Arabidopsis thaliana: one gene and its partners. The protein of the gene in region 3 interacts with the protein of the main gene of each other region in a biochemical or structural test. Each region holds a gene or a part of one and is shown on either strand. Other genes may lie near its edges. The genes, in order: AHP1, AHP2, RR5 and AHP5.

The links.
Region 1: the proteins of RR5 (region 3) and AHP1 form a complex in vitro, tested with the Arabidopsis thaliana proteins (one study listed by BioGRID).
Region 2: the proteins of RR5 (region 3) and AHP2 form a complex in vitro, tested with the Arabidopsis thaliana proteins (one study listed by BioGRID).
Region 4: the proteins of RR5 (region 3) and AHP5 form a complex in vitro, tested with the Arabidopsis thaliana proteins (one study listed by BioGRID).

The regions. Positions count from the first base shown.
Region 1 is NC_003074.8:7,574,905-7,582,654, forward strand, and holds AHP1 (histidine-containing phosphotransmitter 1), read right to left. Parts: upstream 4,886-7,750; 5' UTR 4,634-4,885; coding exon 4,574-4,633; intron 4,349-4,573; coding exon 4,218-4,348; intron 4,126-4,217; coding exon 4,057-4,125; intron 3,953-4,056; coding exon 3,881-3,952; intron 3,793-3,880; coding exon 3,720-3,792; intron 3,588-3,719; coding exon 3,528-3,587; 3' UTR 2,808-3,527; downstream 1-2,807. Other genes in the region: DXPS1 (1-deoxy-D-xylulose 5-phosphate synthase 1), read right to left, coding at 1-181, 256-705, 786-936, 1,024-1,188, 1,270-1,386, 1,562-1,690; DMP1 (transmembrane protein, putative (DUF679 domain membrane protein 1)), read left to right, coding at 7,096-7,719. UniProt on the Arabidopsis thaliana protein: Functions as a two-component phosphorelay mediators between cytokinin sensor histidine kinases and response regulator (B-type ARRs). Plays an important role in propagating cytokinin signal transduction through the multistep His-to-Asp phosphorelay.
Region 2 is NC_003074.8:11,260,215-11,267,311, forward strand, and holds AHP2 (histidine-containing phosphotransmitter 2), read right to left. Parts: upstream 5,349-7,097; 5' UTR 5,195-5,348; coding exon 5,129-5,194; intron 4,910-5,128; coding exon 4,779-4,909; intron 4,699-4,778; coding exon 4,627-4,698; intron 4,544-4,626; coding exon 4,472-4,543; coding exon of another isoform or gene 4,468-4,471; exon of another isoform or gene 4,417-4,467; intron 4,404-4,416; coding exon 4,331-4,403; intron 4,222-4,330; coding exon 4,165-4,221; 3' UTR 3,912-4,164; downstream 1-3,911. Other genes in the region: AT3G29340 (zinc finger (C2H2 type) family protein), read right to left, coding at 1-386, 1,170-1,892, 2,011-2,226. UniProt on the Arabidopsis thaliana protein: Functions as a two-component phosphorelay mediators between cytokinin sensor histidine kinases and response regulator (B-type ARRs). Plays an important role in propagating cytokinin signal transduction through the multistep His-to-Asp phosphorelay.
Region 3 is NC_003074.8:17,755,671-17,764,100, forward strand, and holds RR5 (response regulator 5), read right to left. Parts: upstream 5,281-8,430; 5' UTR 5,071-5,280; coding exon 4,920-5,070; intron 4,817-4,919; coding exon 4,737-4,816; intron 4,643-4,736; coding exon 4,565-4,642; intron 4,438-4,564; coding exon 4,367-4,437; intron 3,617-4,366; coding exon 3,442-3,616; 3' UTR 2,757-3,441; downstream 1-2,756. Other genes in the region: EDS1 (alpha/beta-Hydrolases superfamily protein), read right to left, coding at 1-623, 720-800, 897-1,628, 1,705-2,022; EDD1 (glycine-tRNA ligase), read left to right, coding at 7,441-7,683, 7,775-8,039, 8,278-8,333. UniProt on the Arabidopsis thaliana protein: Functions as a response regulator involved in His-to-Asp phosphorelay signal transduction system. Phosphorylation of the Asp residue in the receiver domain activates the ability of the protein to promote the transcription of target genes.
Region 4 is NC_003070.9:846,131-853,539, reverse strand, and holds AHP5 (histidine-containing phosphotransfer factor 5), read right to left. Parts: upstream 5,748-7,409; 5' UTR 5,382-5,747; coding exon 5,313-5,381; intron 5,174-5,312; coding exon 5,043-5,173; intron 4,899-5,042; coding exon 4,827-4,898; intron 4,733-4,826; coding exon 4,661-4,732; intron 4,543-4,660; coding exon 4,470-4,542; coding exon of another isoform or gene 4,413-4,469; exon of another isoform or gene 4,362-4,412; coding exon 4,305-4,361; 3' UTR 3,919-4,304; downstream 1-3,918. Other genes in the region: AT1G03440 (Leucine-rich repeat (LRR) family protein), read right to left, coding at 1-859; 2A6 (2-oxoglutarate (2OG) and Fe(II)-dependent oxygenase superfamily protein), read left to right, coding at 6,966-7,409. UniProt on the Arabidopsis thaliana protein: Functions as a two-component phosphorelay mediator between cytokinin sensor histidine kinases and response regulators (B-type ARRs). Plays an important role in propagating cytokinin signal transduction through the multistep His-to-Asp phosphorelay.

The DNA of each region.
Region 1 (7,750 bases), about 10 Mb from region 3:
GGAAAGCGGCTTTCGAAGAGATTCAACATGGTTCCACCTCCCATGGCTGCATGAATGGCAACAATATCTTTGTCTGCCTCTGCTTCTGCAATCAAGGCCTCCACAAAACAGGAAGTGTAAGACTGAGTCTTGGAAATATTTTTGAACTGTTTACCTGTTTCTGGATCAAATTTTAAAACTCCTGACAAGAATGAGAAATATGGATCAATCCAAGAGTGCTTAGTATAGTCAAGAAGATATGAAAATTAATTTTACCATGATACTTGTCATCAGCTCTCTCTGCGTAAGGATATCCACGACCTTTCTCAGTCACGACATGGATAAGAACCGGTCCTATGGTTTTGGTGCTCTTTAATGTTTCAAGAATGGAGACCAGATCATCTATGTTGTGTCCATCAACTGGACCAACATAGTGAAAACCAAGTTCTTCAAACAGTGTTGAACTAGTCTCTCTAATCATTCCACAATTAGATTGCAGCCTACTAAGAGCACAGCTCAGAGCTCCAACAGGTTGAGTTGGTCCATCCAAGTTAGCAGTAGGCAAAGATACTTGTTTGTTGTCGTTGAGAATCACAATCATGTTGGAGTGTAAGTAGCCAGCATTGTTCATTGCTTCATAAGCTTGTCCAGCTGTCATAGCACCATCGCCTATAACCGAAACCACGCTGTTGTTCATCCCCTTCAAATCCCTCCCTACAGCCATCCCTGATTCACAATTTCCGCATGCATGTTAGGAAAGTGATTTTTCTTGTTTTCTTGTGACACAAGAAAATAACAAGTATGACCTAAGCCTGCAGATAGTGTGGTCGAACTGTGCCCGGTGCCAAAAGAGTCATGCTCACTCTCTCTTCGCTTGGTGTAGCCGGAGAGGCCATTGGTCTGCCTTATTGTCTTCATCTTTCCTCTTCTTCCCGTTAGAATCTTGTGAGGATAAGACTTGTCAAAAAGACAAAAACAAAACAAGTTAAAAACACTTGTACATGTAGCTAAAGGAAAACTTATGCTTGCAATGAGATAACCAACCTGATGACCAACATCCCAAAGGATCTTATCATGAGGAGTATTGAAGATGTAATGAAGGGCCACGGTGAGCTCAACAACACCAAGATTCGAACCCAAGTGTCCTCCAGTTTTCGAAACATTAAAAATAACATCAGATCTCAACTCGTCCGAAAGAACTTTGAGTTCCTACATAGCAGAACACTTTTTCATCATCACATCCTTGATTTGACACAAAACAAGGTTCAAGACTTGGATTAGGATTTATACTTTGATGGAGAGATTTTTCATGTGCATTGGATGGTTGATTGTGTCCAATAAAGGAGTTGGTGGTCTGTTTGAATAATATTCACCTTTCTCTGAAAATGTTGTTGCTCTTACTTTTGACTGAACCAAAAAAAGATGTTATGTTATTTTCAATTAATTCAATAACTTTCACAAACTTAACAAGAACTAGTGTACGTATATAGTTTCTCACGGATAATCTGCAGAACTTTGATAATAATGCAACTTCATATAGTAATCAATAAGTAAAAGAGGGAAAAAAGAAAAAAACTCTTACATATTTTGTAGAAGACATAGAAGAAGGTTTAAGATATTTTAGTGAAGGATTCCTATTTATGTAAGAAGGAAAGGCAAATACGGAGAGAGCCATTTGAGAGAATTTGTTAATCTGTGTTTGATATGACATTCCAACGTATATATAGTGGTAGTATCAATAAAATGTAAAGCTTACTAATCGAACTCTTTTAACACCTTAAATCCACGTAGAAATGTATTTTGTACAAATTTAATATCAAAATTTTAGAGAATAGCTTTCTGTTCACACACATGTTAACGTCTTATTAAAGTTTACGCTCTTTAACAACGGTCTAAATTCATTTGTCCGCAAGATACACACCTCTTATTCCCAAGTTAGATGTTGGTATAATTCAAGGTATATGATTTAATTTAAGTGACAGAAAAATGATAAATAATTCAGACCACAAAAGTTGACCACAAGTATTTGGATACATAAGCCTTATTTAATTTTCACTATAAAAGTAGTTAAGCACGGCTCTATTGCTCGTCTCAATCACATCGACGTGATATTTATATTATTGGGGATAGTTCAAATAGAAACTTAAATCAGTAGCCGTCAAAAAAGTAGTGTATTGACTAATGTACTAATCCAACGGGAATCACTTACACCATATTGTGGCTTTGTGGGAGACTTTAATTAAGAGATGTTTGTATGATAATTACATTACATATCTGTACTTTCAAATCTACACAAAATATACGTAGCGTAACCTAACACATTAATGAATAATGATGCATGTATAATGTGTTTCATGTGTGTTGAAAGTTGTAACTAGTGATTTAGACTACAGATAGGAGAAAACTTAATGGAATTATTCAACCTATCTCTTGTCTTGATTACTGATTAGTCTTCTTCTTCTATGCATATATTTTCACCAAAACATGCTTCCCTTTGGATACTATGCATGTTTGAAACAATAAAATAGGAATAAGATATTGATTATAACCAAAAAAAAAAAAGTGTTATTTACCCTATGATCCTTATTTAAATTTGTAATCGATAATAACAAGGTGGAAGAACATATAAACATCATATTTTTGTCATATTGCATAATTAATGGTATGGTTCATTATACATACGAAATTACGAACTGGAAATCTTAATTATTATTGAAAAGACAAAAAGGTCACTTGAAAACAAAATTAAACAGAAGGTACAATTAAAGGAACTAGTAAAGTTATGAACAAACGATGAAGGGAACGCTCATTCTTTACCCAAAAAAGTTCAAATAAAAAAGATGGAGCACTAATTAATACGAGTATAGAGCAATACAAAGTTATAAGTGGTAAACTAGAAGTCTAGAAATCGAACATGAGGTTATAAATTGGAGCCATATATAGTCGACGACAGGTCACGGATCTGTAAGTAATTAAGAATTTTGTCATTATTTTATTTTTAGCTACATTATTTAACGTGCACTCACATAGTATAACTTTATTTTTTTCTTAATTGCATTGTATAAATGTCTGAAAATCTTTAGAGATTCGTCGAAGTGCAATCGTAATAAAAAAAAGATTTCCAAGATCATCATGGATGTTTAGTACGGGCCCTTTGTTATCATCTTGGGCTACTAAAATTCATATGGCCCATCTGTGTTCTTTGGTCAAGGACTACAAGACTTCTAACTACTTCTAACAGTTACAGTAAAACAACAACCTAATACCTAACCAAGTTGTCCGGATCACATTACCTTGATGCGTACATTATCTTGATCAAACTCTATATAATTGTAGTCATGACTCATGACTATATGTTTGCTTGAGATCTTATTTTACATATGTGGGATTTAGATGTGGATTAAGAAACGTTTTAGCATGTCTCACTCTTCCAATGGCACAAAGAAAGAAGTTCACATAAGAACCTTTTTTTGATAGTCACATAAAGAGAGGAAGAAGAGAGAGTCCAAAATGAAACAACAATGGACAGAGATGTTTATGAAATTCACTCAAAATCCGAGTTCGACGGCCGGGATCATTCCACCAGAAGCTACAATCTGTTGCTCCAGCTGCATAGATTCGATCATCAAAACCAAAATTGAATCAGATAAGTTTCAAATGTTGATCAAAATATTGTATAACTAGATAAGAGTTATGTGGGTGGTTTTATAAAAAAAAAAAAAGTCTCTTTGACTTTTTACCTTGAACAGAGTCTCTAATCTGTTTTTCACAAGATAATACTCTTGCTTCACTTGTTGCAAACATCTATGACATCTGAAATTTTTCAACGATGTATTTTCCTAATCAGATCTTAAAACAAAGAAATAACGAATGGACCAACGAACATATCGATTAAACTCACGCTTCGACATTTTGCTGCTCGCAGAAGCTGCGGAAGACAACACAAGCATTCTTAACTCTCTGTGCTCCTATACTGTTATTTTTTGGCAATATATATTGTTACACATTTCAAGATCAAGAAAATGTCATTATCATTGGATTAAAATCAGAAATAGCCAGTTTTGTTTTTGTTGTTACCTGGAGCTGCTACCTTTGAGTTGATGAACATGGGGATCAACTTTTTTAAAGTCTACAACTTGTTGATCTCTGCCCGAAGCATAAAAAAACAGTGAGAAACACAAGTTTTGGAAAAGAACAAAAAAAAAAAGATTAAAGAGAGAATGTGTAAAGAAGATTACAGGGAAAGTGAGAGATCATTGAGAATCCTATCAGAGTCTTGGAAGAAGAGTGTGACAACTTGTGAAACAAAATCTGGATTGCTTTCATCTTGTAGTTGTTGCAGCTGCAAGAACTGGCTGTCCAAAATCCCCTTTTTTGTATTTACCCAAAACAAAAGACTTTCCATAATCAGAAACTAATTTTACATAACCTAAACTCATGATTATCTTACCAAAGAAACTACAAAAGCCTAACACATTTTTACTATAAGTCCTAAAACCATTTTTACTACAAGTCCTAAAACCAGAAAGAAAAAGTTGTGAACGTTAAAACAAGTTTTCTGATTATTTGATCTTTTCAAATGTGAAAAACTTACTTCTAAGAAGAGTGATTTGGTGTAATCTTGCAAACTCTTCTGCTTCTGAACCAAATCCATATTCTCTGTTATTTGCTTTTGTTCTTTATTTCTTTGTTTCTCTCTGCCAATAATGGAGGTAAGAAAATGTCCAACAAAATCCTCAGTACTTAAAAGATGAGAACAAAATCCTCCGTATCAAAAAACCCTATTTTTTAAATTTAAATAGTTTGTATTTTATTATTACAATTTTGGTTTGGATGTGAGAAAAGAATCCAAAAAGAAAGAAACTCTTAAAGAATGGAAGTTGGTCGTGCTGTCAACTGTCTAACCATTCGCGCCTTTTTTTCCTCGTTTTTTTTGCAAATGTGATAAAGACATAAGAAGAGCATTTGATACTTCTTGATTTGTCTTTTTTTTTCTTAAGATTTTAAAACATTTTATTGGTTCGAATATTTAAATTACTGTACTACTGATGAAAAGCATATACTAATATGCACAGCTCGCATTCAATGTATCTTTCAAATAGCATCTCTAGGGAAACTTTATTTGTAATATAATTTTGATTTGATCCTCATTGTTTTTGTCCAACTAGCAATTCTTTTATTATAATAATACATTGATTGGTTAGTTTATTTTATATTGATGTATCACAAATATCGTAACGTAATGGGTTTATCAAGGAAATTGTGACTTTGAGAACTCAAATGCCGCCTAACACTTTGTAATGTTGTTCAAAACCAAAACTAAATGCAGCTTATAATTTCTTTAGTCATATATCTCGTCCAATCATTTGGTGGAATTCTTATTAAACTAGGATTTATCATATTTTGTGTTATACCAATATTTTTCATTATAATCAACCACTTATCACAATTCAAATGTTTTTTCGTGATTTCTCAAAGCTTTTCTATTTACTCGTTTGTCACTTGCTCTATAAATTTCTTTCAACTAACAATATTTCAAAACAACCTAACAATATATATGCAATAGCTCATATCCTTTCAATCTTTCATAGAGTACTACATACAATATATTTTTACGTAACATTTTCAACTACAACGATCAGCACACCAGTCTCATCTTTTTCAACCACACTATTTCTTCATTTGCATATCCCTGGTATTTTCGTCACTCCAAATACTTTCCCAATCATACTCATACACACCATTCTTATCTATTTCCTCATGCACAGTAAAATGACAATTTTTTCCTTAGACAATTCGTATTTTCAATAACAATTTCAACACGTCAAGCCAAAATAAAAATAGTAAATTAGTTTCACTGTATTAATTTCTGCAAATTTGGGTAAACATCAACGCTTTGACACGTCTCACATGATGAATGGACATGGGACATGCAAGAACGTAGGATGCGTTTAACGAATGGCATAAAACGTATTATATATACTAACTAACCAAAGATTATTAGTGGTTCTTACTTGATAATGGGTCCATCGTAAGAAGGTTCCATCACTAATTATGGACCTTTCAAATCTTATTATGAATTTTGATATCTTACATTATATTATCTCCGTATAAAAGTTAAACTGTGCTTCCTTAGTTTTTAACAAATTTATACGTAAAAAGTCAAGAAAGAGTTTGCACTCACCCATATCTCCAAGCAATTTATTATAAGAAAATCCTTATAGCCAATAGCCATATCAAGTTTTTAAAAAGGTTTAAAGCTAGAATACAAGTCGCTGTAGACGCAGCCAAATACGATATTATTTACTAAAAACAAATAAAAGGTAAACATGCAGAACGAGTTAGTCGATTTGTTGGTTCACTGCCAATTTCAGGTTAAGTTCAATTTACACAAGTAAAATAAATTAGTTGTCAATTTTATCTCGTGTATGGGCTTGGTTGGTTCAACCGCAAACAAAAAGAAGAAAAAAGTGAGTTTAGATATTAAAATGGTGTATTTACATTTGTAACACAATACCGTAAAAACAATCCATGTTGACGTAATGGTTTCACATACGATAAACACACTTTTAGATCATGTAAAATACAAATGCATGTAAACGTAGATTTTAAAACACAAGTCCATATTCTCTATCAATTTTGTGTTATCACGTTTACAAATTATGTTTGATAAAAGAAAACTAACCGCATTTTAACATATAAACACAAAAACAACACATTCAAAAGACATTCAAAGTCGTTGTATAGTCTTAAAATTTTTACGGATCCATAAGAGAAACTTCTCTTTAGATTCAGTCAAGATTCATCACCAAACGTGTGCTTTATTCGACGCCTTAGAAATTTCTTCGCATTTAGTTCCAAAACTCAATAACTTATCGAAGAAATTATAATCAACCGTTTTAGAAATTATTGAGTCTTCGTGTGTAGACATATAGACAAAATTTAAAATAGTTTGACTTAGTCAATGTTATTACCAATTCTTCTACGGTGTTAAATCCAACATCTCGGACCGGATCAATGATTTATCATCTCAAAATTGTTTTATAAATACCGACACACGTATCAAGCCAAGAACATACTTTATAGTTTATACATCTAACTCTAAGGTTCAAGCTCATGTCCGAAACTTCTTTGCTCATACCCAAAACAAACTCTCCAGCTTCATCAGAAAACATGGCAAACACAAACAAATCCCTCACAGGCCTAGAGAGTCTTATAAAGCTTCTCCCAACGGGAACACTCTTTATCTACCTTCTACTTAACCCTGTCCTCACTAACGACGGTGAATGCTCCACAGGTAATAAGGTCATGTCGAGCATTCTTGTCGCCCTTTGCAGCTTTTCCTGCGTCTTCTCATGCTTTACCGATAGTTTCAAAGGCGTTGACGGATCAAGAAAGTTCGGTATAGTCACCAAGAAAGGTCTTTGGACTTACGCGGAGCCAGGATCCGTGGATTTATCCAAGTACAAGCTTAGGATAGCGGATTTCGTTCATGCGGGTTTCGTGCTGGCTGTGTTTGGTACACTGGTGCTGCTTGACGCTAATACCGCGAGCTGCTTTTATCCTCGGTTCAGGGAAACACAGAAGACACTTGTCATGGCTTTGCCTCCTGCCGTGGGTGTTGCCTCAGCCACTATCTTTGCTTTGTTTCCGAGCAAACGAAGTGGAATCGGGTACGCGCCAATTGCTGAGGAGGTAGGTGCTGAAGAGGAGACCAAGAAAGCCTCGGTCTCTGCCTAAGATCGGTTACCTCAGTTGTTTCTAAATTATT
Region 2 (7,097 bases), 6.5 Mb from region 3:
CGAGATTTTTTCTGTAGTTTCCTTCTCAAAGGACAAGGTTTAAGCTCTAAATCCATGAAACCATCACCTAGAGGCAAATTACTGATAGAAGCAAAGTCATAAACTCCTTGACACAACATAACCAAGTTCAATGCAGCTTCAATCACCTCATGTTTCTCAATCTCAGCCATAAAAGAAGATCCTTTGAATCGATCAAAAGCTGAAACAGAGCAAACCCTAGACTTCTTCTTAAGACCCCAAATCCTTTCCAAACCATTCTCATCTTCGATTCTATTGTGATTACCAGAATGCATCCTCTGGTGACCATACACACCTTTTAAAGTTCCAAACTTTCTCCCGCATGTTTTGCAACCATGAAGTCTCTGAGACATTTCGCCGACAAAAACCTGAAAATTGAAACAAAGCTCATAGCTTTTCCGTTTGATTTTCTCGAGAAAACAGAGAAGAAGACAAAGATCGCGAAGAAACACACAAAATCAGACATTTCTAAGAAGAGAGTGATCATGTTTCGCTAGAAACTTGAAAAAGTCTAAAGCTTTTTCCAGTTTATTTTCTCGGGAAAATGTGGAAGAAAACGAAAGAATAATCGCAAAGCAGAGAGCTTGATTAGCTTACCAGAACAAAATCTTCACTTGATTTTATGACTCAGGAAGAGAAAGAACACGTTTTGACCTAATCCGAAGAGCTGAAGACCTTAAAGAACACTTTTTTTTTACTTATCGCAGAGTTTGTAGTATCGCTTTCGATCTAAGCTATTGACAGACAACAATGGAGAAATTTACTTGTTGTGGAAGCTAATGAGTCTATTATGCAAAAGAAAGAAGACAGAGGATAGTTATATCCTACACTCACGCGTATCATAAACTTGGTGCTCCCTAATCGCTAAACCAATTAATTGGTTTAAGTAATCAATTTTGAACTTTGGATTGGTTCTGTATCTGAAAACATGAGTTAACCAAAGAAACTGTATTTGAACCAAGCAAGAGGAAAATGTTAAGTATACATCTGCAACTTCTGTACTTAGAAGAGAAAAAGATTCAACTAGTAGACTAGCGAGAAAACAGTTCACTGAAGTCTTGTTTTGACTCAACACAATGGAAGGTCTTCTCATGATAGATTTCAATGCTTGATGGTAGTGAAGCAAACTTGCTAGCTTCTGAGTCAATCACGCCAAACAGTGAAGTACTATCTTCAGTTTTCTCATTTTTACGCGCTACTTTTTTCACTTTGATCGATTTGCTGCAACTAATAGACTTGTCGAAACCCGAGTGAGCAAGCAGTTCACCGAAGTCTTGTTTTAACTCAACACAATGTAAGATCTTCTCCTCCTGAGAGACTTCAAAGCTTGATGGTTTTTTAACAATCTTCTTAGCTTTTAATGAGTCAGAGAATGGATTATAGTCTTCAGTGTACTTCCTTTTACACGCTAATTTCCCGCTAATCTCTCTGTGAACTCTTTTGTGATTACCTAAACCTTGAGAACACACAAAACTCTTGCCACATATTTTGCAATGACAGCTTGATTTCCACTGAGTTTTTGTCTGCAATTTACTTCTCAGAGTAGATGGTAATGCACCCGAATGAGAAAGCGGTTCACTGAAGTCTTGTTTTAACTCCACACAATGTAAGAACTTCTCCTCCTGAGAGACTTTAAAGCTTGATGGTTGTGAAACAATCTTCTTAGCTTCTGATGAGTCTAACAGTGAATTCTCATCTTGAGTACTCGCTAATTCCCTCTTAGTCGATCTGTGAAGTTTCGTGTGGCCACCTAGACCTCGATAACACCCAAAAATCTTGCCACATACTTTGCATTCATAGCAGGAGCTACTACTCTCAGGTCTTTTCTGCAACTTACTCTTCCGAGGATATACTTCACTGAACTCTTGTTTCGACTCAAACACAATCTAACATCTTCTCCTCTTGGGAGACTTCAAATTTTGATGGTTTTGAAATAGCATCTAAGGACTCAAACAATGAATTATCAAATTTAGTATACTCCCTTTTACGCACTAGTTTCTCTTTAATCGGTCTGTGAATTCTTTGGTGACCACCTAGAGCTTGATAACACTCAAAACTCTTGCCACATATTTTGCATTTGTGACTTGATTTACTCTGCAGATTACTTCTCAGAGCAATAACACCACTGCAAGTAGTAGACTTTTCGAAACCCGATTGAGAAACCATTTCCCTCAAGTCTAGTAACAACTCAACACCATCTAAATCCATGGAATCATCATCATGAGGAGACAATTCAAAGCCATACTTTTTCTGAAAACAAAACCAAGCTCATTGCAGCTTCTTCTTCCATCTCATGCTCCACAATAGTCTCAGTCATAAAAGAAGTTTCTTTTAGTGACACTGAAACCGAACAAAGACCCCCAAATCCTTAGCAAACCGAGTAAACACCAGAATCAATCCTCTGGTAACCACATACATGAAGGTTATGGATTTTGCCACCAAGATGAAAACTTTCATCTGATTGAACCTGTTTCAGCATCAAATACGTTAAACCCACAAGAATCAAACACAGGAGAGTGAGAAGAAAACACTGAAATTGTAAAAAATCGTGAGCTTTTTTCGAGAAAATAGGGGAAGAATCAAAAGAATGTAGAAAGATGAGAGCTTTGATCAGCTTACCAGAGCAAAACACTAACTTGAATTTAGGTATCAGGGCCTGAATCGCTGAGCTTGATCTGCAGAGAGTCTAGCTCTCGCTCAGCTTTTAACTCGTAGAGACTGATGAAAAAAGTTACTTGTTGCGGAAGCTATGAAGGCTATTTTGCAAAGAGATAGTTATCTCCTACACTCGCGTCTACAACTAACTACGTGCTCCCTAATCTCTAATTTTTTTATTGGTATCTTTTATATCGGTAATCTACGTTGGTCTAAAACCGGTTTGTGATGTATCCCAAAATGATTATCACATTTTCTTAAATGTCCATTTCGGAAAAAAAAGGGTCTATTTCCAAACTATTACCAGAGTTCAAAGTATGACTCCGATCTATAATTTTATATATCTCTAAAACTAAAGTTCTATACCTAGTTTTCTCCCTAAAATAAAATTTCTATATACAAATCTCTCCAAATTAATAGTTCAAGATATATCAACCCACAATTATTGGTTTCATTGGTTTATTAACGGGATAAATGTCATTTAAATCATCACTTTACCATTTCCGTTGGTTTTGAAGCATAAAATCTCGATCTAGTGATTTAAATCCTCAATTTTATGTTGACGTTCAATATAATCACGAATTCGTTGACTAAGCCAATTAAGGCACATCGTTAGAAATCTTTCTAATCAAAATTTTTGATTTTTTCTCTCTTTTTCTTCAGAATCTCTCATCTTCTTTGGAATTTCTCTTCTTTTTCGAATTCAAAGTAATATTTCGTCTTAAGGTCGATTGACGACATCGAAAAAAAGAATTTGTGTCTCAATTTGCTTAGTCAACAAGAATTTGTGATTAATTTGAAAGTCAACATAAAATTAAAGATTTAATTCACCAGATCCAAAGTTCATGATTTAAACCAACGAAAATGGTAAAGTGATGATTTAAATGACATTTTCCCCGTTTATTAACTACATGCTCCGTAATCTCGTCGAAAGCGGTTTGTGATTTATCCTGAAAGAATTACCATATTTTCTTAGAATGTCCATTTCGGATATCGAATGGGTAATGGTTTAGATTTAGGTTTTAGGGTTTACGATATTCATATTCTGATAAGGAGACAGGTTGTAAAAATTTGGAAAGTCACTACCAAACTTTTACTAATTTGAGTAAAGGTCAACTTCGAGACAAATAATTCAGATAATTACGAAAACATTATGGGCAAATTTGGGAAACTAAAAGATCTAAACACACAATTTTTAGAAGCACCCACTAGTCAAGACTTACTTAGTAATCACTATATCTTACTCAAACCAAACCTTTCAGAAGCAAACCAATATATATTATCATCACATTCATTAGTCCAATGGTTTCAATTTTCTCGGATGAGATCAAACAATACATACTACTGATTTATAAACAACCATCACTTGTTTTTGTTTCTTTTTGCACATATTTTATTGAGTTTTTGAGCAAACACCAAATCCAAAATAATTTAGAAGAGAAACTAAAGAAAGAAAGTCATCATCTTTTTTCTTCTTATGGACTAGTCTCTTTAGTTAATATCCACTTGAGGAACTATACCACCAGCTTGAATGATCTGTTTCTCAAGCTGAAACAACAACAACAACAACAATGTCAATGATTTGTTCATTACTCATAACCAAAATGATTCATTAAAAGCAGAGCCAAAAACAGAGATGGATTCTATTCACACTCACATTGAACATATCTTGAAGCTTTGTCTTTAACGCCTTGTACTCAATATCCACTTGCTGCAAACATCTCACACACCTGTAACATAACATGAGACTATTATTACTCAACCAATGAGTCCCAAGAGAAAACCATAACTCGCTTACCCTTCGTAGTTCTTAGCTTCACAACATTCCTTGAAGCTAACACACAAAGTTTTGACCCTCTTGGCACCAACACTACATAGAAACAACACAAAGCTTTTCATCAATCAACAACACACAACTTCTGCTACTTATATAAAGCGAGACATGATACATACCTTGAGCTACTACCCTTCAATTGATGCACACTAGCACCTACCTGACTAAAATCTACAGTTCCTGTCGTGTCCCTGAAATAGAAGTAGCCACAATCACACTTTAAGACAACACAAGCAATGATGATCTAGCTGAGAGAATATCAAAAACTTACAAAGCTCTAGCCATGTTACTGATAAGCTTCACACAATCTTCAAAGAAAAGTGAAAGCACTTCAGACACAAAATCAGGACTTCCATCATCTTGTAGCTTTTTCAACTCAGTAAATTGATCATCCAAAAACCCCTTCACATAAAAAAAACACAAACCCATGAATCTAAAGTTCCAACCTTTACACAACTCAAATCCCTAAAAATCATAACTTGTAAAAATCTACATAAAGATTCAATCTTTCTTCACTTTTGTCATGAATCTATGCATATAGGAGTCAATCTAGTGTGTATATGAGCTAAATTAGCTAAGCAAAGAGATGAAATTGGGTTTGAAGAATTGTGGAATTGAAACCTGTTGGTAGAGAGAAATGGTGTAATCACGAAATTGTCTCTGAAGCTGAGCAATGAGAGCGTCCATGAGAAGAGTGAAGCGGAGATTGGGAGAGGATTTTTTTGTTTGGACTTTGATTATTGACTTGGATTTCTGGAAATAGCCAATCCCAAGAAGAAGAAACTTGTGTTTTGTCTTTCTCGCGAATTGTAACGCTGCTACCAGATTTTTTTACTTTAAATGGGAAACAATAATTAAAAGAGAAACACACAAATATTTGGACATTTTTATGTATTTATTTATTTGGGTGAAAAAAATTAAATAGAGAATTTTCATAATTAACATAATTTTAAAGTTTTTTTTGATAAAAATACCATTCAAAAGTTTTGTGAACATAAATAACACTCAAATAATTATTTAATTTTTAATTATTACAACTAACATTTAAAAAAATACAAAAATTCATACCAAAAATTTTCAACAATATTTTTCTACAAAATAATTTCCGTCAAAATTTTTCCACCAAAAATAATTACGCCGCCCACATTTTACCTACAAAAAAAAATTCAGAATTTTTTTTACAAAATATAGGAAAGATTTTAAGCAATTCAGGAAAGGTTTCACGAAATTTATAATTTTTTTCTTTTGTAACCCTTCCTGAATTTTGTAGAATTTTTCCTGAATTCCCGAATTTTTCTTTTTCGAAATTCAGGAAGAATTTTACGAAAATTTTTTTTGTAAAATCTTTCCTGAATTCCGTGAAATCCTCACGAATGTCGTAGTTAGCTTCCTCAAGTTTTTTTACAAGAAAAATTTGACGGAAAATTTTTTTTGCGGGAAAATTTATTACCGAATTGTTTTGGCAGAAAATTTGACGAAAAATTTTTAGCGGAAAATTTTTATTTTTATTTATTTAAATAAAATTAATTATTTATATTTAATATTTAATTAAAATTTTGAAAGCTACTTGTGAAATTTTTCAAAAAGTTGTTATTTTTGGAAGAAAAAATTTTGTTGGTGCTATTTTTGTCAATCCCAATTAAATATTTTTTTTTTGGGAAACATTTGGATTCAATACAAGTTTTTAAGTAAATTATTGGTATTTGGTTAATTAATAAAAACTCTTTTTCTGAAAAATATAATATGAAACACTCATTTAATAATATTAAATCTAATTTAATTTTCTTATATAAAAGAAAAATATCAATCTTATGTTTCGATTTACTTGGAAAAATTAAAGTATTTGACATTATATTTTCTTTTCAAAGACCCAAAAAAAAAAAAAAAAAATTGCAACTTATTATTTCGATATTTTTAAATTACAATTAGACTAACCATTTAAAAGAAAATTTTGTGTATAAGATTTTTAATATTATTCACATATAGTTTTTTATGGTATCAGAGCTATATGTGATATGGTAAACTATTCACATTACAGATTGGAATACTCACCCAAGTTATGTAGCCAACTTCGGTGTGCGTACCTAAAAGGTTAATATGTGGTCACTAGTACTGTAAGGAATGCCTCTACGAATGGATTTATGCATATTTACTTAAACAAAAAATACCAATCGCAATGAGAGACATACAAAAACATAAAGCTTTAAATATGGAATCGTTAGGTGTCACTCAGAAATCAGAATCTCCAACCTGGAAACTTTTACAAGATGCGTTTGGTTCCTAATCCACCAGAGAAGAGATATCATGTGATTCTCTATGAACAATGTGCAAATATTCTTCCGAGTCAACTCTCGCAGACAAAGCTCAATAAGTGGCAAAACTTTCAACGATTAACTACAAAGTACAAACACATTTTACTCCAATATAAACCAATATTTATTTAGTTTCTAAGGAAACAACAAAATTGAAGCGACATTGTCGAATACAAGTCCTCTTCGACCAAAAAAATATGAAAGTAATACCAAAAAAAACAAAACACACACCAGAGAACATAACAAACATATTGTAAGAAATATAACAAGTCTTAAAG
Region 3 (8,430 bases):
TCATCTACCTCCCCGTCTGTGATCCATTCTCCAAGCATCCCTTCTAATGTCTTAACTCTTACCTCAACTTCCTCGTATGGCTTTCCTTTGAGTTCTTCAACCTCAGCCCAAAAGCATGATCCGCACTCGGATCCCGAATTCTTTAGAGTCTCTTGAATTTCTTCTAGCTGTAACCCTAAGTTAAGACCATTTACCTTGTTCCAAAATACATCTTCTGCAATCATTCCGTTTGGCTTCAGTATATAATGTTCGTAGCCTCTCTGAGCATATATGTAGCGGGTTGGTCTTCCTCTTTTCATGTACGGCCCTGTGTCTTCGTTCTTTAAATGTCGATGGTAGTTTGCAATATCAAGAGGCTCAACTAATCTGCGGTATCGAGTTGCTAACTTGATCCAATCTATGTCCCCTTCGAACTCATCTGGAAGTTGACATTTCTTCATTAAACCAAGCACCTCGTCAAAAACACCGGCTAACTCAGCTCTCTTGACGTTTGCTTTGAAGTCATTCTCTTCATTTGAAACTTTGAAGGAATCATAATACCCATTTTTATGGGCTTGACACTTTGGCTTGTATTCATCTTCTATCCATGCTAGTTTCTTTAAAAACCTCTCTTGCTCGATCACCTAAAAACCACAGAACCAACAAGTTTTATGTTGTTAGACACAAACAGACGAAGCACGTACCTGCATTATTCATGAACAAGCTTATCAACCACAAACCTGAATAATCTTCTTCTGATTCTCTACTCGTTTCTTCTCTTCCTCTAATGCAGCTTGAACGTACTGTCTGCCTCTTGTGCTCTGCAGAAAAAGGAAACACTCTGAAGGGTTTAAATGATTGCAAGAATGGAGCTATGGAGCTGCACAGTATGAAAAGAGAGAGAGAGAGAGACTTACCACTCCAAGGTCATTGAGCGTAGACTCTATTGAGTTTTCTCCATCCAAATGATTAAACAACTTCTTTCCCATCGACTGTACCAGTTCCTCATAGCTATGATGATCTCTGATACTTCGAAATGGAATTAGAGACCATTCTTGTTCATCGCTGGCTTGAGAAGTGTAAAACAGCATTTGAAGAATGGCGTCCGAGTTGTTCACTGCAACCAATCTCTTCTCTGTAGAGAAAACAAAAGTACCGGCGGGTCTATAAGGACTTAGCTCAAGGAAACTAGAAAGGGTCTCTAAAAACGCCTCTGCGCTTCCAGTCAATTCACAAACAGCTTGGTTTGCAACAGTTGATGTGTCTCGCATCACCCTTGTGTAAAACTCTGTTATTCTCTGTTCACTCTCTTGGACGGAAGACTTTCTGGGATCCAATTGGGCAAGAACATGAGGCAAAGTTTCCTCTACAGACGCCTTTCGAGCAAGCATAATCCGAGGGACAATATCGAATCTTGAGACAAAGTTCACAAAGAACCGGCTCCATTTTTCTCTCCCAAGTGCGTGACTGAAGATAGAGTCACCAACCAAAGGAGCTCCAAATGTCACACAACGAGGCTCAAGGTAAACATTTGGATTGCGTATGAAGTATTTCTCCAAATACCAAACTGTTGCTAAGATTGCAGTTGCACCTCCTGAGGAATGTCCTGTGAACACTATCTGTTTTCTACTCCTCACAGCCATTTCCACCTGAAGAAGTAAAAGCATAAGAGACCAAAAAAGAAAAAAAAAGAAAAATATATTCGGATGTTTTCAATCTTCTTACAGAAGCTTGAAATGAGGTTCTTGGATCAATGATAGCTTCAAGATTCTTGAGGAAAGCTTCGTTAACAGTAGCTACATCACCTTTACCGATTTTCCTCATACAAGGAAACTGAACACGGTTCAACTTGATTTCTCCAAAGGAAGATTTATTGTCCGGATCGAAGAAATCTTTCTCTGAGAAAGATGGTTGGAAAGCGAAGATTACGACTGCTCCTGCTTCTTCCTTGTGATAGCGCTCGGTTAGGTAAGCTTGCTTCGAGGCTGACCATGATCTGGTGATTAGATCACCATTGATTCCGGTAAGAGCTTCAAACGCCATTGATCTATATCTATTCTCTTTTCTTTAGTGGACTTTCTTCTCTCTTTTTTCTTTTGAATCGTCTTGCTTCTTTAATCCGCTCCTACTCTGTTAATTTATGGGAAGATGTAGACAGGACTAATTAGTTACCCAAAATACCCCATCATGAGACCATTTCAATGCAAAAATGGGTTTTTTTTTTTGGAGTTGACTCTTTGGCTATTGGAGACTCATGAAGAAAGAAAAGCTAGGAATCTTAGCTTTCCACGTGTCGGTTTTACATTGGTGTATGGCTTTGTACATCCGACATGACTGGAGTTTCGCAGAAACTTTCATAAACATTCACATTTGGTCGGAAAGTTTTCTCTGTGTAATCTTTGCTTGGAAATTTTGTAGCTTGACTTTGGAGTCTTCGTCTCTTTAATATAGACTCCATCTTTTGGTTTGAGATGTCACTCTCGGTTGGGATTTCGCAGTAACTCAATGATATTCACTTTTTTGTCGGAAAACAATTTTGTTGTTTAATGAATGAGGAGATTTGTTCGCTTGGAGTTAAGTTTTTGTAGCTTGACTTGGGTTTTCAGATTTGGTCTCGTATAGAAGAAATCTACTACTTTAACTCTGTTTTGCTTATAAATCTTATCCGGAAAGTAAACCGGATAATCTACAAGATATGGAACCGGTTCGATTTCTCTCAGCTGAATATTAACCGAATTAACTAACTACACCTTCTTGCCTGGTCCGTTTTTGCGTTCGGCAAGACGCGTCACATTCGACTTTTACTTGTTTGATTATGAAGTTACATGAACCGGACTAGAAAAATTTAGTTTGTTTTTTTGGCTAAACCAAATTGCATAACCATATTTTGCTTTCAGATAGAATGAAAAAGCCTAGGAGACTAAATTAACAAAAGAAACAAAAAAAAGTCTAGGAGACTAGAATTTTCTTGGTCTTAATAAAACCCAACTTGGGGAAATTTCTACGAAAAGCCATGTAAAGTGTTCCAACCAACGCTTAAAATAACTAACTTATCTCGCTGGATTCGATTCATGTAGACAGCTTTATTTTAATTAGACAAAAGATTAGCTTGTCTTCGTGTAATGAACGGTACTAAACTACTAATCCATTCCTAAATCATTATTTAAGTAATCTTAACAAAAGAAATTCATATGTTAACTTCCAAAATAACACACCACCATTTTACATATCTCTCATGTAAAGAAAAAAAAAATGTATCTCTTCTCCTCTCTAATGAATCCAAGTCTACAATTTACATTTCTATCTTATAAAAACCCATCTTTGTCACTCTTGATCAGTCTTGGTTCTATCAGCAAAAGAAGCCGTAATGTCTCAAAAATTGTAAGCCGAAAGAATCAGGACATGCATGTGTGTGAATCTTTGAGCTTTTAAAGAACATATCGTACGTGGAATCTGATAAACTCAGATCTTTGCGCGTTTTAGCTGCGAGTAGATATCATTAGCTTCAAGCTCTCTCTTGTGCATAATATTCTTAAAAGCTCTTTCCTCAGCTTTCATTAAAGAATCTCTTAATCTCTTCACATCAGCTAATTTCACAGGCTTCAATAAGAAATCTTCAGCTCCTTCTTCAAGACATCTGAATAAATATAAGGAACCAAATGTTAGTGATCTAATTCCATAAAGTTTATAACTTTGGATACAGAAAATGGCCAGCTCATATATGATAATCATTAAACTTAATCTGGTAAAGAGGGTTTGGTTCCTTAGTAATAAGCAAAGGCATGTGAGGTGTCTATCACGAGGATTGGGATTTTATAAATGACCCTACCTAAGATTATGCAACCCAAACAATTAAAACATATATTATAAAGTTTTGGAGGGCCTAACATGTCACCGGCTTATATAGAATCAAATCTCAAGAGAAGATCTTGCTTAACTTATGATGGATTATTCTTTTCTAAATTTATGGCCACAAGATAAATTTTATTATTCCTAAGATCCATTTTAAAAATCATTTTAGGACCCACTAAAATAAACACCAAATCTCAGCTTGATCAAATATACAACCACCACCAAAGTTAACCCCATGATAGTTAAAAAGTAATCATATAATAACCTTTTCTATCATAACAAAATCTTGTGATTATACAACAATTTAATTTAGTCAATACATATCCTTTAACGGTAACTTTATCACAAATCCTAAATTAGTGTGATTACTTTAAAAAGTTTCCTAAACAAACAATACCCTCTAAATCTAATCATCCCCATCTCCTGAAGTAATAAATGCACAAAATCTACTATATTTGGTAAATTTTGGTCCTACATAATCTTGACCTAAACAAGAATTAAGGATCATAGTTAAGATTATTATAGTAGAATATACCTATCGATACGAGGCAAGATGTTCTCTGAAGACATAATCACAACTGGTATTTCTCTGAAAGCTGATGATTCCTGTTAAAAAGTTCAAAATCCATAAACAAGATTAGATCAAAACTTCATTTTTTTTTAAATTTTTTTTCGTCAAATCAGAACTTCATTTTAATTTTGTGAAAACAATTGAATCATCAACAAAACTTACTTTGATCTTCTTCAGTAGTTCATATCCAGTCATCCCAGGCATAGAGTAATCCGTCATTATCAAATTAATCTTCAGATCCTAAAATATAATTTCAAACCAAAAATCTTTTAACACCAAATTTGAATGGATTCTCACTCTCAAAAATATTAAACACAATGATCAGATTTATTACCTCAAATCCAACCGAACTATTATTCTCTCCATCTAATCCAAGATATTGTAAAGCTCTTGTCGCACTATCGACAACAGTAACTGAGACAGAACAAAACTAATGTCAGATTCTTGTACTTAAACAGATTACACAAGATAAACAAACACAACACTTTTTTTTGATAAACACAAACACAACAGTTACCTTTACAAGATGAGACTCTGAGTAACCGCTCGATGAACTTCCGATCAACCATACTATCATCAACAGCAAGAACATGAAGAAGTTTCGGTGATGCTAATGAAGAAGTGTCGTTAGAGATATCTAACATCTCGGGACGCAAAACCTCAGCCATATCAAGAAGAGTAGGATCGTGACTCGTGAGAGAGATAGAGAGAATCAACTATGAGGATTTGATTTTGCTGAGAGATGAGAGGAGAATAAATGGATTTATAAAGGAAGAAAGAAGGAGAGGGAAAAGAGAAAAATATGATATGGGGAGAGGATTCTGAGAGATCTTTGCATATCTGTGGGATTTTGTCTGTCTGATAGCGCGTGGCTAATTATTTGTTTATTCTGTTTTCTTCTCAAAAGTCATATTTTCAAATTTTGGCTAAACTTCAAATAAAAATAAAATCAAAGTCATAAAGTTTTTTAATATTTTTTTTGTTGAGAATAGTCAAGTAATGGTGAGTGGTGAAATCATATGATATGTTTGATTTGGGAAGGGAAATAAAATCAATTTTGGATGAGGGAAATCGTATCATGACGATCTCTCTCGATTATTGTTGTCAAGATCATGGCTACTTTGATTCATTTCTTTTTATTTTTGTACATTTTCGATACTTTCTTGATTTTCCCATTTTTCAAGAAATGTACCACAGAGAGAAGATTTGTATTTCAATCTACAAAATCTTTGAGATTGTTAATTAATTAATGAACATTGTTGGAAAAGTTAGCTGACATGTGACCGCCAGATTGACTATTTGGGCGAATGAATTTCAATGTTGATATCTCTAGTTGCGCAATCAGATAAATTCAAGATCCGTATGTGTATATTTCTAGAAACAAAACAAAAAATCATTATTTTTCAAGTTATTGTTGTTTGTCCATCTCGTAACTGTACCATAATAGTTGCCTCTACTATCGATCGTGGTCGAATGGCATAAGATTGATGAGTTAATAGTAAGTTTTCATGAGTGTTCAAAAAAAAAAAAAAAAATAGTAAGTTTTCATGAAAATAAAATTTCAATTCACTTTTCTTGAAAAATATTCATATGTTTACTTGAATTTTAATTCGCTTTTTCTATAAATTTGGCGTTCTTTTATTCACATATTTAGCAACACGCATCGAGTATTTCCACACGTGAGAGATCTTTTGACAATTGATGGAAGGCTTTGTCACGACAGGATCGAAGATCTATGGACTAAACTCGACCAATATATTTCAAGAATGGTAATGACTAAATCATCATTGAAAGCTGAAAATATGACTATGATCGATGTATCTCTAGAGGAGATATCAAATGAATGTGAGGTACTAGGTGTATAGAGCACATGACCTTACTATATATGTCAAATTTGGTTTGGCTTGCAGAGAAACGGCTCGGATTTCTCCATGATGGTTGTTTATCAGTATGTATATGCGTGTCCCTTCAGAGTAAGTCTACACGTTTTCTCTACTTGTATATTTGGAAACAACATGAGTTTACCGATGAAATTATTGTTTTAATATATATGAGTGTTTTGGCTATGTACATGAGTCCGAGCTTAGTGTCTATCATAGTCAAAGATCACAAGATACATTTATAGAACTTACTATTGTTTGATCAAAGAAATTAAGTTAACAATTCATAAATAAACCTCTTAACAGTTTATGGCAAAAAAAAGAAATGCCAGTAAAATTTGTTAGGCACCAAAACATTCTATAAAGAATAATCCTAATGGTCTCGGTTTTTACCTCTCAAATAGTATGAGAGGCTGAAGACAAATATGCTTTATTGGTTTCCTTACAAAAACCAACGAACTTTCGTGTTAACTGTCTATGTGATATGAATTGGTACATGCATGTTGTTGTATTAGGTTCTTTTGGGACATCTGATAAAATTGGGAAGATGTTAGCATGGTCTAAATAAAAATGTTCTTGTATTATACTTAAAAAAAAAAATCTTTTCTTTGTGTGTGTCTCAATTTCACTATATGACAAAGGAAAATGTTATAAAATGAGAATCAATAAGCTAATATATGATTATTCAAAATTATATTCGGGGTCCAAATTTTGATTTCTCTACGTACGTAATCTTTTGATATAGAAATTTTAAGTTATGGATTACAAATACTCGATTTATTTTATGAATTCTCCTATTCTATAAATAATCGTGAGTAACTGAATTACTTATATTCAATTGTTATTCATCATTCATTGATTATATATCTGAAATTATTTAATAATTATCTATAAATGTACAAGATTATTACAGCTTACAATTTTGTTTTTGTTGCTTAGTGAATTTACATTTTAGACTTTTTTTTTTGTCAAATACATTTTAGACTAAATGGTGTTTTCTTTTGAAAAAATCATATAGTTTAGGTCGAACCGCGAACTCGAGAGAGAGAAAAGAAAAAAGGAAGAAAGGATAACACAAAACCTCTCTCTATCTCTCTCGTCTTCCAAAAATCGAGCACTACACATTGACTCTCTTCTACAAAGAGTCTGGTCACACTCATGGCCATCCTCCATTTCTCTCTTCCTCTTATCGTCTCTTTCCTTCGTCCTCACGCCTCTCCTCGCTTCTTCCTCCTCCCTCGCTCTCTTTCTCAGTCCCCTTTCCTCTCCCGCCGCCGTTTTCACCGTACCTCCGCCGTTTCCTCCGCCGCTGTTCATCACCAATCCTATCGTAATCCCGACGATGATGTTACCCGCGCGGTGTCTGTTCCTACATTCCAACAAGCGATTCAACGCCTCCAGGTTCGTTCGATTCTCACTCATCTCCAATTCTCTACTTTCAAAAGTTCGACGAATTCAAATTGAATTACTCTCTTTTGTTTTGAAATTGAAGGAATATTGGGCTTCCGTTGGATGTGCCGTTATGCAACCAAGTAACACTGAGGTCGGAGCTGGCACCATGAATCCTTGTACCTTTTTGAGGGTTCTTGGTCCTGAACCATGGAATGTTGCTTATGTTGAGCCAAGCATACGTCCTGACGACTCTCGCTATGGAGAGAATCCCAATAGGCTTCAAAGACACACTCAATTTCAAGTCATATTGAAACCTGACCCTGGAAACTCTCAACAGCTCTTTATCAACAGTCTTTCTGCTCTAGGTACTGATTCTTTCTGCCTTCTCTTTTGTTTCCACTTACATGTCTTTTAACAGAATAGGTTCCTTTCCTTGTAGATGCACAATTGATTGAATTTTTCACCCTGTGCTGGTTCTGGTTTGTGGTTTTATAGTGTTAATTTTGATTTGCTTAAGGTTTGATTATGTGAAGGTCGTCTTTATGTTTCATTAGGAAGTTTTCTCATCCAGATAATCCTTCCCTTACTATTTTTATGTGTTAGGTATTGATGTGACTGCACACGATATACGGTTTGTAGAAGACAACTGGGAGAGCCCGGTAATGTGTGAACCCATGTTTTATGCGTTTTCCATCTCTTTTAGTTTCTCATTATACTCTCAGCGTGCAAGTGTCTGATCATGTGAATGACTGCACA
Region 4 (7,409 bases), on a different chromosome or scaffold from region 3:
TCGTCACTTGATTCGCCGGCTGAATTAAACCGAAGAAGAAATTGCGTTGTAACTGAAGATTTGTGATCGGGAAGGCGAAGACTCGAGCGGGGATTGTACCGGTGAACCGGTTTAAGCTGAGATCAAGGTAGTTAAGCTGGTTCAACCGGAGTAAAACATGGTATACCGATCCGGTTAACTGGTTCCAAGCGAGTGAGAGGTATTGAAGCGACGGAGGGAGAGACGCCGGTGAGATTGAGCCGGTGAGGCTGTTGCGTTTGAGATCGATTCGGGTTAGAGTTTGTGAGAGAAACGGTGGTATTGATCCGGTTAAGTGGTTGTGGCAGAGAATCAAATTGGAGAGCTCCGGTAACGATCCGATTGACGGAGAGATAGTTCCGGTTAATTGATTATAGCTTAAATCCAGTGTTCTGAGACCACGAACCTCGCCGAGACTCGCCGGAATCTCGCCGGAGATGAAATTCCGGCTGATTGCGAGAAAACGAAGGTCTTTTAGCTGAGAGATTGTTGCCGGTAACGCACCCATGATTCTGCCGGGGACAATGGAGAGCTCAGTGAGTGCAGAGAGTTTGCCTATTGCTGGGTCGATCCGACCCGATAAACCGGGTGAACCGGCTCTAGGATCGCCGAGATTGAGAGAGATTACTTTATCTCCGTTGCAGTAGACGCCAGCGAAGCCGCATGGATCAGAAGTGAAATCCCAAGACTCGAAGAACTTGGAACCTGGCAAGTCATCGAGGGATTTACGAATAGCTTGCAGAGCCAAGAAATCAACTGGGTCGAGAATCGCCTCCGTGAAGAAGCCGAATCGAAGCAGGAACATCAAACACCAAACCAACTTGGTAAATCTCATCATCATCTTCTTCTTCTTCTTCTTCAGACTTAGCCGTTACAGGTTCAAGAAACAGAGACTATATATATACACAGAGGGAAGAACAGAGACGAGCTGTAAAGTAGAGAAAATGGGTTTTGTTTTCTGATTTCTCGTGAGAGGGAAAGTCTCTGGTTTATGTGGTGGAAAGAAGGTGTTCTCGTGGGAGCTTCCGTGAGAGCTTTAATGGAGGATTATCAATAAACGATTAGCAAAAGGAAGAAAAGAAAGGTTTATCGAGAGAAGAGAAAGAGAGTAAACAAAATGGCTTGAGAAGGAAGCCAAAAACCCAAGAAATGAATCAACGTCGTCGTCTGTTTCTTCTTTCTTCTTCCTCTATTTTTTGTTTCCTTTTTTTATATTTTATTTTGTCTAATAGTGTCAGTCTTTGTACAGAGAAGAATATACGAAGATAAGTATATATGTTAAGTTACTTCTCAATCAAGTTTGTAATCTAAACTCTAGATTATCTTTCTCTTTGTACTCACATCATAATTAATAAGAAGAATACATATTCTCTACAATCTACATGGTAAGTTAATCTAATATACAGTTTAACATACATACAAAGATACTTGGTAAATTCTCTATACTTTCATTTTCCTCTTTGTTCCGCTCTTTTTGTTTGTTTCTTTTGGTGGCTTGTGGTGGAAGACGATGATATGAAAATTTAATGTGTCGGACAAAAACACTAATTAGAATGCTAAATTAAGAAAGGTTATACATTTGGATTGTGTCAGTAAAAACATGAAAAAAGGTGCCTTCTTTTCTTTTAGCTGTGGTTTTTATGGGGAACAGGTAATATGGTAAAACGGCTGTCCGAGCCTTAGGTTCGTAAAGAAACAGATTAGGTTCGGTGAGAGAGACGATAAAAAGTGTGTCTTCTCGTCACGTGAGTTTTGTGTGCGTTTCAGTTTTACTGTTTTGAGTGACAGCTTGGACGAGCGAGATTTCCGTGACACGTCAGCTTTCTGGTTCGATAATTACTCTATTGTACTAGCTACTACCTTTGTTTTATAATTGTACTTTATTATTTTTTCCAGATATATTTTGCTCGATTTTAAAACACAAAATCAGCGTTACAATTTCATTTTCCTGATTGAAGTTGATGAAAAAATAAAATAAAGAATTTTCCTGATATTTAACACAAATCATAACGCATATCGTAGGAAGTTTAGCTTATGATAGATGGTTAAGTAATGGTCAATGTAACTGATGAAAGTTTTAGTCAATATCAACTTTGAAGTGTGTCCTAGTCTATATCTAACTAAGCTTTACTGTACTATATCCACTTCCAACAAATCTTGCGACCAAAAGTTTATTTCACAACTACTTTTGATTAGTTAAATGTTATAGTCCCTAGTTAGTACTAAATGTTTGATTCGCCATAGGGCTTCTTTGATGAAGTTATAGATTAACACATCTATCGAAGAAATGTTTCGTATACCGACTCTTGCATAAATCAACAAATGTTTTTGTCAATTGTTTTCACTCGTTTACATTTAGCCATTATACTAATTACTAACTTACTTCATTGACCAAAAAATATATAACTGTATTAATCTATATTTATATATGAAAGAAAGTTTTAATATTTTACGAATGAATAAAATGAATATGAGAAAGATGTAAAAGCTAGCTATGACAGTTAGATAGGTGAAAGAGAAAAAAAAAGATTTGTAAGGTTGTTCCAACTGTCTAAATTTTACAAAGGTAGCTGGCAAATGGTCCTTCAATTCCGTGGGCGTAAAGAAAGATAATTGGTAAAAAAGTTGGACAACGCATAAGAGATTGACTTTAAGTTTAAAAGCAAAAGGAAAAAAAAAGAGTAAATATGGTAAAAACAGTGACATGTTATATTTCTCTAGTTTTTACTCATTTGGTTTTTCACAAAACTTGTTGTTTGTATGTTAAAAAAAGGAATAGGAGCTTGGACCACAAGTTTTAGCAACAACACATGCATAAGATGGTCAGGTCAACATTTATAACGCTTACCCAATTTTAACATTTGTTTCACTACATACGCAAGCAACAAAATAGCTCGATATATACCTCTACTGTACAATCTTTTGCCTTGTGTACGTATATTAGCAGATTGTCTCTACTTTTGATGTGCATTAATTAGTTTCATAAGTGTAACTACCGTTTTCTGAAAATAATTAACTCATAGCGTACATCTAAATACGTTTCAAATAATGATTCGCTACTGATTCACATATACCAACCATGCATAATAAAAATGATTTAGTATTCATTCTAAGAGAGACTAGGTAGTGATGAGTAGACCAAATTAGATTTATGAAAAGAAAACTTGGCTTTGCAAGAAAGCCAAAGCAATACGTTCCAATCATAATGAACAAAATTAAAAAGGTCTAAACCCTAAGATGGTCCGCACTACGAGACAATTAACGCACTCGTTTTGGGACTCTTGTGTTTGTTTGGTGTGTCGTCGAATCCTCTCTCCATAGAAGGTAAGATCACATAGTAACCGATATAAGATTTGCTTTGACTTTTGAATCGGTTTCATGAAGAACCCTAAAACCAACCATGTTATAAGGATATTACAAAATTATTTTAAAAACATTGGTTGAGAGAAATAAAAATGATGAAGATGGATATGATAAAATGAAGGATAGAGGAGAAAAGCTTTGTTATTATTTGTTACATTACACGCCTCCATGCCTTCAATTTATGTTTCATTAGTCTCTTTCACTTCACATACTCTTCCTTTAAAAAAAAAAAAATGCTCCACCTAGTGATTACCATAGACACATGGCTTCACATTTTTTATTCCACTTATAAACAATCTATTGATAATTCTTCGACATTTTCTTTTTATTTCATTCCTAGTTTGAGGTAATTCGGACATTATATTAAATACATACCTAACAAGACATGCCCAATCCTTTCTCAATCTATTGTCACAATCATGTCTTATAAGCCCTATAACAATAATGTTGATAAAAGAGACCATGGAATACCGTTAACAAAATAAAGAGACCATGGAATCGTGTTATCCATAATTCAAACAAATCATTCTTGATTAATCCACACATAATGAAATCGTCTAAAGTGCTAACTAGTACCCGCATGCTTTACGGCTCAAATCAAAATCATGAATCCAATAGAGTATATCAGATTCAGAATAATGCTGAGAATTCTAAGTCATGATGGTCAGAACAAAGGCTCCAAATGGTGGTTGCATTGTGACAGGAATACATATGGACATGTCTATTTATAGACTAATAATTCAATTTTTACTCTTAGAACTCAATTAAGAGTCTAAACAAGACACGATATCTGGCCAGGGACAGTGTTGCTGAACCTCATTAATCAATATAAAACATAACAACAACAACAAAACTACAGAGGAGTTTCGGTTTCATTTGTGTCATCAGCCTTGAACATTTGCATAATCGAGAAACGCATCGGTCTAATTTATATCCACTTGAGGAATTGTACCTCCAGCTTGGAGGATCTGTTTCTCTAACTGCAACAACATAACATAACAGAAACAGAAGAATGAGAAGTAGCAAAAGGCTCAGTAAAAAGAATACACAAGCAGAACAAGTAGGTTTTCGCAAAGTTTAAAACTCACATTAAAGAGATCCTGAAGTTTAGTCTTTAACATCTTATATTCATAATCCACCTGCTGTAAACACCTTAGACACCTGTGCCAGATATCATTATCACAATTTGTGTGTGAATTAGAAGAATAGCTTCTCATATAATAAAAAAGTTTAGAGATCCAATAACATTTTGCATCAACAAGCTAAAAAATATACTCACCCTTCACGGTTCTGAACATCGCAACATTCCTTGAAAGATATGCACACATTTTTCACCCTCCTTGCACCGACACTGAGTACAAAGCAGAGACTGAGCCATTAAAATCAATGTAGTTTGGTCACTTAAAACTAGAAAAGCAAATTTAGCAGTGTTCACTGTGACAAACCTGGAGCTACTACCCTTGAGTTGATGAACACCTGAATCCACCTGTTTGAAATCCACATTATCTGGCCGCTCCCTAATGTTTATAATAAACTCATAAAATGCTGTCATGAATATATGAAGCTAATTTACACCCTCAAAAATGAATATGAAGGAGGATTAGAGACAAAGTCCCATGTTAGATAAAAAAGAGAAGCCTAAGAGAGTAAGCAAAGCTTACAGGGATATAGACATGGTATTAATAAGCTTGGAACAGTCGTCGAAGAATAGAGAGACAACTTCAGCTACAAAATCAGGGGTTCCTTCATCTTGCAACTTTCTCAACTCTGAGAACTGATTATCCAGAAATCCCTTCAAAACAACAACATATTATATCATCTTTATAAAAAAAATAAAAAAATTCAAATTCACACATAACTGCACCTTAAGCTTATCTAAGCCCAAAAGTGAGAATCCAGCCAAAGTAAGAAAAGTTTGGTTAGGAACGAACCTGTTGATAAAGAGAAACGATGTAGTCTTGAAATTGTCTCTGCAACTGAGCAACGACGATGGTGTTCATAGCTAAAGTTTACCAAGAACCAGACTTGTAAACAAAGATGGTAAGAGCTTCTCAAACATACATATACCAAAAACAAACAACGGATACGGTGAACTGTATTTCGACGGTTCCGAGATCGATCTAATCGGAGGTTTTTGGCTTAATTTAAAACAGATCCAACAACAACTAGGCGAAAAGACCAAAGAACAAACTTCCAACTTAACTAAGAGATTCCAAATTCAAAATCGGAGCGACACAGAGAGAGATGATGATGAATCTGATCGGAGCGTCGAAAGTTATAATTTATTCCACGTTCCGTTGACTGATTTTGACTTAAATATCAAATGGAGGGTTATTTTTGTAAATGACTATATTGTAGGAATTAATCAAGTACGTAAATAATATTTTAGTTTGTGGGGTGCAAATCTGATTTTATAGATAGGGAAGTTGCTAGCATGCGTTCTCCACAAACGAGATATCTTTTTTTTTTTTTTTTAAAAAAAAAGGTCCAGTCCCAATTGGGCTTAGGCCCGGAATTACAATCGTCCACAGTTACAAAACAGGAAAAATCCGGTCACCGGAAAAAGAGAACCAGAGGTGGATTTGGGCAGTGGAACGGAGGCAGCAAATAGATCTATTAGTACCGTCGTATACAAGGCCCACTACTTTGCAACACAACCACCGGAACGAGATCATTGGCCGAAGTATACGAGTCCTGCCGCAAATCTCTTACCAATGAGCTGGCCGGACCTGCAACAAACCTAACGGAAAAAACCCAGTTTCCGACACTCCGCCACCCAATTTGGTCGAGTCCCCAACCTCGCAAAACGACCACGCATTTCCAAGCCTCTGACCTCCAAAACCTTAGATCTGAAAATTTTCCAAAAGCAAAGCAACCTTCAATCCGGATTGATGGAGACAAAAAACGGAGGCTAAAGAAGGGTGATGGCTCAGACAACCCTTCAGCAACCGGAACCCGCAACAGCCATCTCAGATCCAGTTTGTTAACCATCAAACACGCACTGAAAACCCACCAATCCACAGCGTCTTCCGCCACAGCTACAGCGTCTAACCAAGTGGTTGAACCAAGAAAGACTTCACCGATCTCCACCGACGTCCATAACCAGGAAGAAACGGAAGAGAAGCCTCTCATCCACCGAGAAAGGGCCACCGCTGCCACGCTTACCGGAAAAACCACACCACTCCAATGCCGGAGAAGATAGCTTGCCTTACTCCTGCTTTGTCTTGCAAATTCATAACCTAAGATGAAGAACAGAGGCAGAAAAAACTAGATCTGTAAAAACTGGAAAAAACTTCAAAGAGAGAGAAAATGAACAGTAGCGGAACGATTGTCCAAAGTCCTCCAAACGAGATATCTTTAAATGTTGTTTTGCTAATTAGTGGCGTTTCGAGAGCTAGGCGAGCAACAATGGCGATGAGATTTAATATGGTAAGTGTGTAGTTAATTAACAAAAGTTCAAACCGGATGCTATTCTTACTTGTAAAGACAAACGACCAATTAAGAATCCAAATTTTAATATAGGAATTGAAATAAACTAATGGACCTTGTTTTTGGCGATTCATTTCTTTATTTGTTATCTTAATATGGGTCACGATTCCTTTTGTTATTTAATTGTATTAAGATGTGCATTAAGATGTGGAATAATAGCACTTATGCAAATCTGTGCATTGCAAAAAAAAGAAAGAAGAAGCAAGATGGAGTCAAGTGATCGTTCAAGTCAAGCAAAAGCTTTCGACGAGACAAAAACCGGCGTGAAAGGGCTTGTGGCTTCGGGAATCAAAGAGATTCCAGCCATGTTCCATACACCTCCGGATACTCTAACAAGCCTGAAACAAACAGCACCACCTTCGCAGCAGCTGACGATCCCCACGGTGGATCTGAAAGGAGGAAGCATGGATTTGATATCGCGGCGGAGCGTGGTGGAGAAGATTGGAGACGCTGCGGAGAGATGGGGATTCTTCCAGGTGGTGAATCATGGGATCTCGGTGGAGGTGATGGAGAGGATGAAAGAAGGGATTCGCAGGTTT